Styela clava: one gene and its partner. The protein of the gene in region 1 binds, or shares a complex with, the protein of each later gene. Links are inferred from orthologs where the notes say so. Each region holds a gene or a part of one and is shown in the gene's direction. Other genes may lie near its edges.

Region 1 (8,268 bases):
AAAAATAATAAGAATTGTGTTGTTGCTGTGGCCATATCAGTCATTTTTAGGCATTACTATCTTTAGTTCTCAAACAATATAGTAATCTTCCTGCTCTACGTGCCTACGTCCTATTATCGCATTATGTCGCAGACAATGTAATACGTGACGCGCTCGTCGGTTGGTCAGATTATAATTTCAAATTACGACTTTCGTTTGGGGCGATGAATTTCTTAGAGCGTGTATGGCCCCGGTATAGATATTAGGCTTTCCACAAAATTTGATCAAAGCAGGGTTGCGCACTCACTCAAAAATAAAAGAGACTCATCTCTGTGCATAGTTACAGATTCTCACTCTGCAGTAAAGAAGACTCATCTCTGAGCGAACTCTCTCTTGCGCACTCACTCAGAAGTAAAAGAGACTCTTCTCTAATCAAAGTTACAGGCACACACTCAGGAGTAAAAAAGACTCATCTCTGGGCAAAGTTACGGGCACTCACTCAGAAGTAATGACGTCTTATCTCTGAGCAAAGTTACTGGCACTCAGAAGTAAAGAAAACTCATCTCTGAGCATTGTTACGGACACTCAGGGTATGAAAGGAGATTCATCTCTAAGCAAAGTCTCGCGCACTCACTCAGAAGTAAAGGAGATTGATGTCTGAGTGAAGTTACGGATGCTCACTCTAAAGTAAAAAAGAAACATACAAGGAAACTGGTGCGGTTCGCTTATAGAGCAGTATTCTTCAAACTCGTTGCAAGCAATGCTCGAGTGTGTATTATTAAATGACTTCGGGATGCCAACAAAATTCCGGGCAAATGTTAAATGAATTGTAACAGATGCCATAGGAAAATGTAAACAAGATGTCATATTTAGGTGTTCCCATGAAATATAAAAACAACAACATGTGAAATATCGTCCTCACAGGACTCAGGAAAATAGCCCAATGACAAGTTTTAATGGCCATCGAACATTATACGCTATGTTCCCTTCCAGCCTTTGAACAAATTGATGAACGTATTCGAATCGGGTAGTAGATTATTCGAATCGGTGGAGACGAAAATTTCGAATCGCCGCCATCTTGTTTTCCTTTTGTACGGCAAATGTCGAGATGAATCCTTCAATTTTTCTAGAAGATATTATTTTACAATGTAATTCTGACACGAGAAAATTTTCTTTTTAGTAAGTTATTGATGAAACATGTTTCTTATTGTGCGTGAACGCTCAGCGAACTATCTGAGTTATGGTTTCTGTGATGTCACAAACAATCACATATCTTAACTTATGAGATAACAATGGTGTGGCGTGAACAGTCTCTCGCCGAGAAAGTAAATATTATTTTATTTACACGCGGAAAAATTATTTGCTTTGTGATAGTTTGTTGCTGGGGAATACTCTAGTGTTGTGTACATCGCTAACCATGGTCTTGTCACTTTAGAAATTGTCATTTATATACCATAGTCTGGAAGATATATTTGGCGTCAACAACCCTTCTCGCAATGCGGACGGGTTTGACATGTCGCCTACCGACTGTCAAAAAAATAATCTAACCAAATCAATAACGTAAATCAGGGGTGTGCAACCTGCAGCCCACAAAGGAAAATTGTGCGGCCCGCAGAGAGGTGGCAATTTCGAATGATGTTCGGCCAGCGAAACAAGTTTTTAATTTGGTTTAATCTGGTACGCGTAAGAACTTCCTATCCGTTTGGCGTTGCAAAGCCTATACCTGATGCATATGAAGCTCAATGCTCTAACACAAGAGTGGGCAAGGTTTTTGGACCAGGGACCAGACCCACCTAGACTGGCGGGCCATGTAAGTGTGACGTAAAAGTAACATTTTATAAATAATATTTACAAAAGCAAAAGTGGAAAACAATAAGCTTCGTGTCAAAACTAAATCTGAACGCAATCTCAACAAATTCCCTGAACTATTTTTCAGCTAAAACATCAAAAGTTGATTTTAGTTTGGCTGTGGCAGCATCAGGCGGGCCAGATCAAATTACCCAATTTGGTCTGGATCTGGATTTTACCCGCGAGCCGTAGTTTGCTCATTTTAGCGCTAACAGCTGGCTCGACAACTTTTATGCATGTAACCACTAGAAAGCCCATGTTAAATAGAGATGCGGCCCGCAGTTTGCCCAGTTATTCGTATTTGGCCGGCCTGTAAAAGTTGCACACCTCTGACATGAATATATACAAGAAAAAATATGCAGGTTGGCCCTTTCGACACCCGATGTGGACAGGTAATCGGACGAGAGGCCGTGTATCGTCATATTTATTGCGCCGTATTAAATTTCCCTTTTGATCGGGAATAAATGAAAATCCTACTGCAGTTATCCGGTGACCGTACATTTGAACTCGTACTTTTGCACCCGTATATCCGCGGGTTCAATCTATATTCGGGTGCTAAAACCCATGGGTTAGGGTTAGTATGGATTTAAATATCCGTAAAAAAAATTCATAGGTGCAATAGCATGCAGGTGCACTTGTCGTGGGTTCAAATTACGGGTTCAAATGTACGTGGGTTCAAATGTAATGGAACCCAGTTATCCACTTAGCCGATATCGATCTTGCCGATACTCGTGAATGCATTGTGCCATTCGACAGTGGTTCCAATCTTTTTGGTGGAACGGAACCAGAAACATTCCAGAAGCTCGAGGAACCCGTATGCGATAGTTTAGTTGTCTTTTACTGTCTCAGTTGTATAAACTAAGAATAATTATGAACGCAAAACTAATACTAGCAAAAATGGTTATTTAATTGTAATAAATTTAATGTTAGTGGAAACTATTAGATATTGCAATAAATTTAAACAATATGTTTAGTTTAAACAATATATTTAAACAAAATCAATGTAGACTCTCAGATTTAGATGGGAAATGGCGGATTAGTGTCCTTGACCAGTAGTTTCCAACCTTTGACCCCCTTTTTATCATTCCAGAGGTATTCATAGTGTTAATTTTGATTGATATATTCCACAACCCGCCATGTTCAAACAATTCATGCTCAACAAGGTCAAAACACATCCTGTGAAATAACCTTATCAAGCAATAAAACTAGGAAAAATGAGAAGTAATAATTTAACTGAAACATAAAAAAAAAACGGAATTTACGTTTCCGAAGTAAACATTTGTATCCCAAGGTTTTTTTTAGATCAGAAGACGCAAGATTCCGGATTAAATATATATATATATATTTAAAACTGCAACCCGACACTTTAAATAGCAGGAGCAGCAGAAGTTGTGCTGTTTTTTTAGTTTTTAGAGCAGTGTTTTCCAAACTTTTACACCGCGGACCCCTATTTATCAATCTTAGTTTTGACGGACCCACACCTTATACCGTATCAATTTCTGTTCCTAACCAGCGAGGAAGGACAATGTTCTATTTACAACACGATACAAACGACATATGATGGATGAGGTTGCTTTTCTCTGCACAATTTTCGGAGTAATTTGTGGCACACAAACTAGGTCCGACTCTATGGCAAGTCTAGAATCTGTAGTTTGCTATCGTATTGGTAAGAGCTGAGAATGATGTCTCGCACATGCAGGTCGTTGCAAAGCGCAGCAAGAAATAATCGTCCACAACGATAAATTAGAAAGATACAATGACATTTTGATTGAAATCAATCATTAAAGTTCGATCCGTATCTTTTTAAATCGTTGCGGGCCCCCTGTGCAGTCATCACGGATCCCCAGGGGTCCACGGACACCAGTTTGGGAAACCTTGTTTTAGGGTAATGTAATTCCTACTATCACAACACAATTATTTCCATGTTATAGCGACGCAGTTGTGACCTGTATTTCACGGACACACTTTTGCGAATGCCTTCCACTCATTATCCAGATCTGGTCAAGCTTATACAATGACTTCAACTAGAAATGGGTAATTAGATCTTTTAAATTTACTGGACCACAGGTGACAGTTTTCCATTGCGGAATTTAGAGTCCTATAATTAATCTCGCTCTCAATGGTGAGCAATCGGTGCGTATGACACCAATCCGAGCCGCAAAACCGATTATTTGCTTATTTTATCATGCTTTCTGTTGTTCACTATGTTAAGATAGAATTTACATAGTTATCCTGGCGAGAGGAAAGCCGATGGGTCGGCTTAATCATATTGCTAACCACGGCCTCTCGTCCGTTTACCAGTCCATGTCGGGTATGGGATTTGCTAACCAATTATGTGTTGTCAAAACATTAACTTGTGAGGGCCGCGTTTCGCCATTCGATTGAGTCGCTTTATGGGCTTTTCTTTCACTCAAAATAAACAACAATTGTACAACAACTTCAATTGTTTGAAAATACATATATGTTGTAAATACCGTCCACAATTCAAATCCACTAAAGTCGTATGATGTAATATGGACTCCCTGCACTCGTCGTTCGGCCACGGACATATTACGTCATATTATTCGACTAATCTGTCATTATCCGTTGAAAAATCGATGTAAAAATCTATAAAATATTATTCAAAATGCATTTAAACAAATGAGAAGGCTTAGAAACTGTCGGAAGATCTGAAAATTATCGATTTATTTCATTACGCAACACGACTCACTTTGACCCCCACGCTTCCGACACATCTCAGGGGTCAAATGAAAGTTGCCAAATGTGCGCTGCGGTGTTTCTAATGCGAGATTACGAAATCAAATTTGCATCAATAAGATAGGATTTTTATTTTATTTATCCTCGTAGAGAGGAAAGACGATAGGACGGTGTGCTCATATTACGAATCTCTTGCCAGATTAGCAGAGTACGTGTTGATGTTGCCTGGTGGCCTATGCTACGGCTGTATGGCAATACTGCAATGGGTGACCATGTTGCATGTAAACTATTCGACATTGTTGACGAAATAAAATACTACTACTACCGGTACATATTAGTTCCAGTTATTAGTACAGTAGATGCATGGTCTTGGAACATTCATAGCGCTATCATGCCGCCAGTGGCAGAGAATGAAATTATACCGGTACGGTATAGTCATATCTGAATGTCACCACAGGCAGTAAAAAATGTAGAATTCTTGTAATATACCTAATTCTAATTCTGTAATCACTGAATTAGACTGAAACTGCAATATGCACCGTACTTTACTGTCATTCTGTCATTACTTTTACTTATTGAATAATATTGGATTTTGCAATATTGTACTAATCTTTCAAAATCCAACAAAAAAGGCCGTTAATTTATTGAACTTTGCCGAAGTGACTCGAGTCGCCTAAATAAAATGACTCAAACCTAACTTTGATCTAACTTTGCATTTAAAATATTTTTTGCAGACAATTAACTTCCAATCATGTATAGATGTGGTAGGACGTGCAATCAAGCACGAATTTTCGTCAGAAATTTAAAGAAAAATGAGGAAACATCACAAAATATATGTAAGTAGTTCGTTTTTGGTTTTAAAGTGTTTTGGGATTAGGTGTCACAATTTAAGCATAGCTGAAGCAGACATTGAGAATATTTTTATGCTGCGTCAAGTCCAAGCCATTTCAAAACAACTCCAGGGTGAAAGCAAATGGTTGTTCATAAAATTTATATTATTTATGTATGATTGTAGATTTCGCACATTTTGTCATATTTGCAAATTAATTTTAGCAGTAATTCCAATTGATTTGGTCATTAAATCCTTTGCACAAATATCCATATTTTATAAATGCATAATTTGTTGATTTTACCAGATTTGATCATTTTTTAGGTCCAAGCCCTGGCAGGCTGGGACACATTCAAAAGTTTTCTCGCGATGCATGGTTGGGAACGCCCCACTGCGCATGATTCTTGTGTCTCGTATTATTTTAGACCAGAAAAATGAGACCACTGATGGGGAAACAGAGGGCCCAGGAATTTTCAAAGCAGGGTTCTGAAATAGATTGTAACAGCCAGCAGGCCCAACTCTCTTGAGGGTCTGAAAAGCGTTTCAAACTATGAAAAATTGTTATGTAAGATACAGAAAAATGCCTTTTTTTACATTCAAGAGGTGAGGTTTCAACCCTCATTCCCCTCCCCCATTATTGAAACACTGATTTCTACACAGTTGGGAACACTGTCTTAAAGACTATTTCATTTTTTCAGTTTCCAGAACATACAGATTCACTCGGAAAGAGCCGGCAAATCGTCTACAGCTTTACTCCCATCGTTCATTAGATCTTCCGGCTCATATCGGCTCGCTACTATGTATCGGGACTGGAATGATATTTTTTGGAGCTGTAAGTGGATTTTTATAGATTAAAAACTAGGTCATGAGCACAAAGTGCATAGGATTACTCTGAACAAGGCTCTGTGTAAAGAGCTAATAGAAATTGGAACAATGGTTCTCGAAGTCGCTAGGCCGGGGGTCTGAATTAGAAGCAGAAGGATCTTAGCGTGCCAGGAGAGGGAAGCGCCTGCAAGGGGAACAAGGCGCTTAAACTGGGATAATGATCTAACGGTTGCCGGTATCTAAAACACCAAAATGTAAAAAACATATGAAGTGTTTAACTTAAGTTCGACGGGCCATATTGGATCTACCACGAGACGTAATTGACCCACTGGCCGTGGTTTGGGAACCACTGGTTCAGAGTTACCTGAATCATTCCAATTTCTATTCGAGATTATTTATATTCGGTATTCATAATTCTACATTTTGATTTTGGAATAACTTCATTTGAGAATTGAATTGCCTTTTTGAGCTTTTGAAATCTCGCGCTATTATTGAGAGCCTCTATTTACTTTGTTCTGAAAATTAAAAACAGCGGAGCAGTCAAATCACTGCCCATTTTATATGTTTCTGTTAAACGTGATTACGTGAACCAATTCAGAATATATTCGATATATTATAAATTCAAACATGCCCTTTTATAACAGAGGTTCCCAAACCGCAGCCCATGGGCCAATCATGGCCCGCGTAACGATTCATTACGGTCTGACGAATTTAAGTGAAATGGTTTAACACTTGTTTTTTCCTTTTTGTTTTCGTAATACCACAAATTGTTATGTCATTATCACAGTTTAATTACATGTATATTTGTAACAATTCGATTTTACCGATATCTAAATTATATATACCAGAACCTCTGCGGGCCGCGAATATCCTTTCGCTTCTAATTTCGGCCCCGATCATTCAACTTTGGAAACCACTGTTTTGGAATGTAATTAAAATAGAGAATTATCTTATGCTGGTAACAGATAGCATACTTTACATTACAGGCTGCTTTCCAATGTTCCAGTGAAGCTAAAGCTGCAGAAAAACAAGAAGATGATGAAGAAGCCCAAACTGAAGAAGGTGAATTCCCAGATATACCAAAATATAATTAAGTTATTTAGATCAGGGCTTCGCAAATTTTCAAGCTCGTGACCCCTTCTAATATATTAAAATATTCTGCCTACTCTGTTACGTTGGCATTGTTGTGTAGGCTGCGTGCCTCTTCTCCGATCCTATGTATTCTCCCGAAATCGTGATAATTATGTTTTGCACTATTTTTAATAATTGTGTTTCGAATCAAAATTAAAATAGATATTGACTCTATGTGAAATTGGTAAACTTTTTGCGATCCCTAAAATTGATTGCGCGACCCCCAGTTTGAGAGGCTCTGATTTATACCAAATTGAATAGGCTGACCCTGGAGTGCATAATAAACTCCTTATTGCTGTATCCAGGATAATATTAAACTTCATGGTACGGCTACACAGTCAGGTGTCCAATTCCAACGCAGAGTTATTTCAACGTTGACCGTTCAACGTTGGGATTCTACTGTAAATTTTTCCCCGACTTCTATGTCCTGGATTGATATATGCCAAACTCAGGCTCATAACATCCTTCTAATTCTCTATTTTCCTAGATCAAACGCCCCTGGATTATCAGTGTTTTGCAACTTATAAGTCGCGACCCAAAACTGGGTCGTTTGAAATTTTGAAAATAATATCCTAACTTTTATCCAGAGCCTGTTCTTCCAGAGATTCCAGAATCAACACAATATTTATTAATCGGAGGAGGAACAGCATCACACTCAGCCATGAGGGCGATTAAGAAGAGAGATCCAACTGCAAAGGTATGTACAATGGTACTCCTGTTGTATGCGAACCAAGATGGCAGACATCGGAACGTAGTACGTGTACCATGTTAGAGTTAGGCCATAATTCCAGGTACGCATACTACGGGAGTCACTTGGCAAGTCCCTGAACTCGTATTAATAGAACTAAGATATAGAAAATTAGAATAACATTTAGGTTTAGGCAATACCCTTACCTGGACCACATACTACGTTCCGGTGTCCGCCATCTTGGTTCGCATTCTACGGCTACGGGAGTACC
Region 2 (5,859 bases), on another chromosome or scaffold:
CGGAAATTGTATGGTTCTTTTTTCAGTCCGCCAGGGTCTAGGGGTTGTGCAAGAGAAAAACATTCAGATCTTCCATTGACTTCTGTATTGTGGTCGATAAAATGAATTCCTGTCGAAAACAGTAAAATAGTTACTTATTAACAAAGTATTTACAGTTGTATTTAAAGAGCAATTAATTCTGATATCCCAATCTAGAGTAACTATGAACCATTGAAGTTGCATAAAAGCAAATTTATTTATTTAGCACAAATATAACCGACGGTTATCCACAAATCATTTATGACATTAAACTAATATGCATTATGAAAAAACACAGTAAAAACATGCCACAACAGCAAAAAATATTAGTTAGTCATTCACTATTTATTAAGGGCTTGAAAAAATTTTGAAAATATCTAAATGATATTTGAATTTTTGCTTAGTTACAGTATTTTCTTAAAATTTTGGCCCTTTGGCAAAATAACAATGTCAAATACTTGAAAAATTTGACATATCTTGTGAATTCACATCGTATTTTAGTATGTTATTTATTGAACTTATTAATATTATGAAATTCAAATTTGAAAGCTGAATTCCATGATATGAAATCAACAAACTCCTATGTATTGAATTTGACTAAAATGAATAATACGACAATATTAAATTTTACCACGAATGAAAGAATCCTCACAATGCAACATTGAACTTGTTTATAAAAGCTTTCGAGGCTTATTAAAACAAACAAAAATCATCTCATAAGGATTGACTTGCAGTATACATCCTGATCGATCAGAACAAAAACATAAGAGACAGATGTACAGGCACGGAACTCTTTTCTTGGAGCATAACACATATTAAGGCTCTTAATCAATACTTGAAACTACATAATATTCTTAGGTGCATATAGTAAAAGATAGTACCGGTAATATAACTGGTGTCGTGCTGCAATCATAGTTGGAATGATGTATGTTCTTCATAATTTCATTGGTATTAGTGGTATGTTGGCAAAAGTATACCTTAACTAAGGAACTCCAACTGTATATTACATACAATGGATGAAAAAAAAATCTGGCTATTCTCAATATCAAATTATAAACTGTCATACACGCAAGTGAAAACGTACTAATTAAAATTGAAATATTTCCGCAAAAAATTGAAAATATCAATTGGTATATTTGGTCACAATATGAGAACAAAATATGAGACAAAGAAGAAAGACAACAATTTACATAATATGCGAGTTTATTCCATTCTAGCAAACAAACATATCTTATTAATAAGCTATTTCAACATGATGACGTCGGTATTATTAAAATATGTCAGTTTTATCAATAAGCTATTTGCAAAAATCTAACTTCGTTAATTGAAACCATAATTGCTACCACAAAAAGTTTATAAAAATCTTGATTTTTGTCAAGTTCCATAATACACTAAGACATTCCTGCAAAACACAAATGCCCGCTTACCTCAACTGTAGCTAGGCACATAATTAAACTATCTTTGGAAATATTTAGGGGTTCTCTACAAAGTTGCAATGTGCTATCTTTACAAATTTTTAATCTTTTATTTGGTTCGTCGTTCGTGGCATATCAACATTAACTTAGATCTAGGGTGTATTTAAAGATATTTGATTATTATTAACTTCTTCAATATAGCAACTACCATATATGATGAGTAGCCATTGAAGGGTACTTGTGGAAAAATTTTCAATTGACAGACTGAAGGGCAATTTGGGGAATTTCTAGTCTAAGAGCTAGGCTCTTGTTTCGAGGAACTTTCATGTAGGTTTCTCGTCTTTATTGAGTTGATAAAAATAGCAACGCATTAATTAAGTTTAAGAGTTGTAATTAATTTAGCCCATTGAATCATAAATTTTTGATTGTGCTACAAGAGCTGATGCGACAACGACAAGATTAGGTTACAAGAATCACATTCATTTTATTTTAGAGTGTGTTCAACATAATGTGTAATATGTCACCAAAATAGAATAAAATATAAATACTTGAAAGAGATGAGAAAAAAATTTAAAATCAAACCTCGTTAAAACTACCAGAATTAGTAAACAAAAAAAATTTTAATTACCCTTTATCAGACATTGAAATTCGTCCAACTTGTTGAGTCTTAGATTAATCTCCTTCAAAAATTTTTCTTCAAATTTATAAGCTCCTCCTCCAGTTGCATGACATATATTATGCATGGTTGAAAATTCTTTCTCTTTGACCATTCGAATAAAACTATCCATCCTGTGTGTTGGAAATCGAAGAAAGTGCATGTTGCCAACATAACCGTTGAATTTCAATCCCTGAAAAAGATCAAACTGTTAGAGAACCAGGGACATTGTTTGATTATTCTTCCATGGTAAAAGTAAAACTATAAACAGGGGGCACAAAATCAATGGAAAATTTAAAAAAGTACGGTAGTAAACATTTTTGATTTTAAAAAAACTTAAAATATTTTTAAATTTAAATTTAACCTCTGCCGTTCACATAACAAATAAACTGAGTTTTACCTCGTGCTGTAAAAAAGACTATTACGGTAATAATCAAAACAATGTTTATCTCAAACATTCTACAAATTCAATTCCTATTAATTCACAATAGCTTGTTATTAATGGTGACATCTCAAGATTGCGCTTCCTTTTAGTTCATTGCGCACTGACGGTTTGCCAATTTGTATCAATATGAATACCAAGATTGTCTCGTAAATGAGGGGTTTGCACTGACTGTTATTATTGATGTCTTTTAACCTAGGGGCTATCCTTGAAACCGGAGAACTGTGTTGATTTTATAACTTAAATGATTTTTTATACAGCTATATTAACAAAGCAACAAAAAACCATGAACCTTGATTTCTAAATGAGCATCCCGCACTCCAGTTTGTCCATACGCAATACTCGATAACAAGGTTTCACGAATTACTTTCAAAGATTCTTCTTCATCTCGTACTTCTTGTTTCGTCATTGAAGTTGGTTCAAAATAAACGAGTTTAACCAGAGTACCTCCTATATCAATCCCATACCAAGGAAATGGTTGACGTCCTTGTGGTGAATTTGTGGCATCGCTTGTAGCCATTTTTATATAAATAATATAAAATACTAAGGAATAAATAGCAATGTTAAGCAACTTCAAGACCTTATAGATACCTCTATTCTATGTTCGACTCTTTTTTCTCAGTATGATTTAATGTTAGACTCCGTCTTAGGCTGTTAGGTGATGCTGTTCGATAACCATCACTGGTTCATTGCGTCTCATTTCACACTGAAATGCATTTCTCTTATCTTCTTAATTATGTTTGTACAATGTGTGCTTTCGGCATGTGATAAAATAAACTACTGACCTCAGCCGCTGTAAGTTGTGCATCATTCAACATATCAAGGGGTGATACAGTGATACCGTACCTTATTAATGCCAATATCCAAATTTAGTACATGCATTCATAGCATCACAGACAGGGCGAATGCTGCAATATCAATCAAGCCAGCCTACTTTGATACTAAATTTTATATAGCCTAGTTATAGTTTTAATTGGACATTTCATAGGCTACATTCAGAACCACATTCAATTTGATCTAAATTTAAGAGGGACAAATTCCACACCACCAAAGTATTCATTGCATTTTCATTATTCGAAGCCCTCTAATAACATTGGTTACCGTACTAACAATACAGCAATTTAAATCCACGATCAAATTGAATAGATCATTTTATATGTTAGTACCCGGTACTACCGTACACAGTACACACAAGTCACACAATCTCGGAGCGATAAAAATAATACAAAAATGCAAGATCGTTTAAAAATCAACGTATTCTGAAATAATAAATATGCCCAGTCTTTCAATGGCAATGCAGTAATAATGCAATTTCCATTAGTAACATTAACGAAAGAACGCGATACCGGCGTTGTCGAACGCGAATTGAATGGTGATTTTGTTTTGGTTGGATTTTGGGAAACGCGGTCCGCGCTTTGCTTGCGCATCATGACTCATGAGGTACGAATTATTGCTCTCTGTCGGAAGCTAGAGGCTGTTTGAAATGATGCATATGGCTAATTTTCGTACTTTAATCTGTGTGACAAAATTACCCAAGAAACATTTTAATTACCACACTTTACTGTAATTCGATTTAATTGTATATGTCTTTTATAAATATTGTGAAATTTTAATTTTATACCCTGTCTAAATAACCACTGGGGCATATCGGTGACTGCAAACAGTGAAAGTCACGCTGGTCTGGCAGGTGCTCCGGTTTAGAAGTTAGGGCGCTTGGATGCTGATAAAAGAAATGTCCTACTGCCGTAAAGAAGGTTAGTTTCAGTTATTTCATCTAAAAGCTATTCTCACTCGCATGGAATATGACTATAAAATGTTTTGTTTGTTCAGGGAAAGACATAATAATATTCGCGACAGAGGACGATTTGTCCAGTCCCAGTACGGTCACACTTCTCCCGGATAATCCCAGCGATGTAGATACCAGCCATGAAGGTTAGCAATGCCTTTTTTATTATTTGAATGCTCGAATATACGAGTATAGGTCGTAAATCAAATGTTATAAGCAATTTATCCATGGGATTTGAGCTTGACGCATATTAATTACATTATTTCTATAAGATTCAAACGGTGGATACCCCTACTGCCCTATACTTAAAATTTGTACCCGTCTCAAACCACATTATTAATGTCCTCATCAAGTAGTGGCTATATTTTTCATGTTTAATTTTCTTGATATTGCATATGACTTGATTGAAGAATTGTTACGAATGCATATCTTTTTGACTTTACAATTCCTGTACTTATTTCTGGCTGCCTAATATCAAGGCCACACACCATGATTTTCCATATAGTTTCGTCGTATTTCATTTGCCTTGTGGTATGGGTATGAAATCGTATTGTAAAATTATTGACAATATTTCATTATTCCTAGGCGCAATACTTCCGAATGGAGATATAAACTGGGATTGTCCATGTCTTGGAAATCTACCAAATGGACCTTGTGGCCCCTCATTTCGTGAAGCTTTCACATGTTGGGTGGAAAATCGAGACGACCAAGATTCTTTTGCGGAAAAATGTTTTGATAACTTTTCTAAATGGGAAGATTGTTTATCAGAAAATAGAGACATTTATAAACCATCATCTTCAAAGCAAAATGACAATGACGATAATTTAAATATTGAAGCTAATGCTTTAAATGAGACTGAAATTGAGAACTCAAATGGTTCAGAAACGGTTAATATGAAGACCGAAAACAGACCTGCTATTGCTGCTGCATATATCGGAGATTCTAAAGAAAAATGAGTTTGTTTGCGAGGTTCTGTATTAAGACAAGTTTGATTGGTATTTTCTGGAATACTTTGTTACATTTTTTTACACGATTCCACAAGTGAGTGAATGCTTTCAAAGTGCAGTTTCCCCACTAAGGGCTGTTCTTATCTATTATTAAACATAACTGAATTGTGGCCGCTGGGTCCTAAGTGCTTTTCAGCGGTACTCTCACATGAACAAATGCTAGTCCAATCTTTTGCGACTACGGCTTTCTAACAAAATAATAAAGTCTCATTACCCAGTTGAAAGAAAATTATATATTTGAAAAACAACAAATTTTTAAGTGCTTAATTCTAGCCTAAAAACACCATGCGAAAAAATGATAAATAGAGTAGCATTAAAAGCAAGCAGCCTGGACTAGTAATTAATTATATAAGGTGTGCACTTAAGTGTTTATTTTGTGATTGGGGGGGGGGGGGGAGCATTTTATACTTCCCAGGCCGCTAGATGAAGGCAAAAAATTACTTTAAAACCAGATGCTTGCAATAGAGATAGTTATTACTAATAGGTAACACTGCTCGCTCCACTGTGGATTTTTAAAAATAAATATTCTTTATTAG

The links.
Region 2: the proteins of apoptosis-inducing factor 1, mitochondrial-like (region 1) and mitochondrial intermembrane space import and assembly protein 40-like are in contact, whole or in part, in a cryo-EM structure (PDB 9GQZ), measured with the Homo sapiens proteins. The link is inferred for Styela clava from reciprocal best matches to the Homo sapiens genes AIFM1 and CHCHD4. Residues at the interface, in NP_004199.1 of Homo sapiens: Pro345, Tyr347, Ser500, Ser501, Leu502, Pro503, Thr504, Val505, Gly506, Val507, Phe508, Ala509, Lys510, Glu558, Asp559, Tyr560, Asn602, Ala605, Lys606, Phe608, Asn609, Ile610, His611; in NP_001091972.1 of Homo sapiens: Arg5, Glu7, Lys9, Asp10, Arg11, Ile12, Ile13, Phe14, Val15, Thr16, Lys17, His20, Thr22, Pro23.

What each region holds. Positions count from the first base shown.
Region 1 is NC_135263.1:617,376-625,643, forward strand, and holds the start of apoptosis-inducing factor 1, mitochondrial-like, read left to right. Parts: upstream 1-5,245; 5' UTR 5,246-5,275; coding exon 5,276-5,360; intron 5,361-6,051; coding exon 6,052-6,185; intron 6,186-7,164; coding exon 7,165-7,240; intron 7,241-7,896; coding exon 7,897-8,006; intron 8,007-8,268. UniProt on the Homo sapiens protein: Functions both as NADH oxidoreductase and as regulator of apoptosis.
Region 2 is NC_135258.1:10,889,643-10,895,501, forward strand, and holds mitochondrial intermembrane space import and assembly protein 40-like, read left to right. Parts: upstream 1-4,126; 5' UTR 4,127-4,247; coding exon 4,248-4,284; intron 4,285-4,360; coding exon 4,361-4,462; intron 4,463-4,901; coding exon 4,902-5,272; 3' UTR 5,273-5,285; downstream 5,286-5,859. Other genes in the region: pantothenate kinase 3-like, read right to left, coding at 1-109, 2,062-2,281, 2,823-3,050.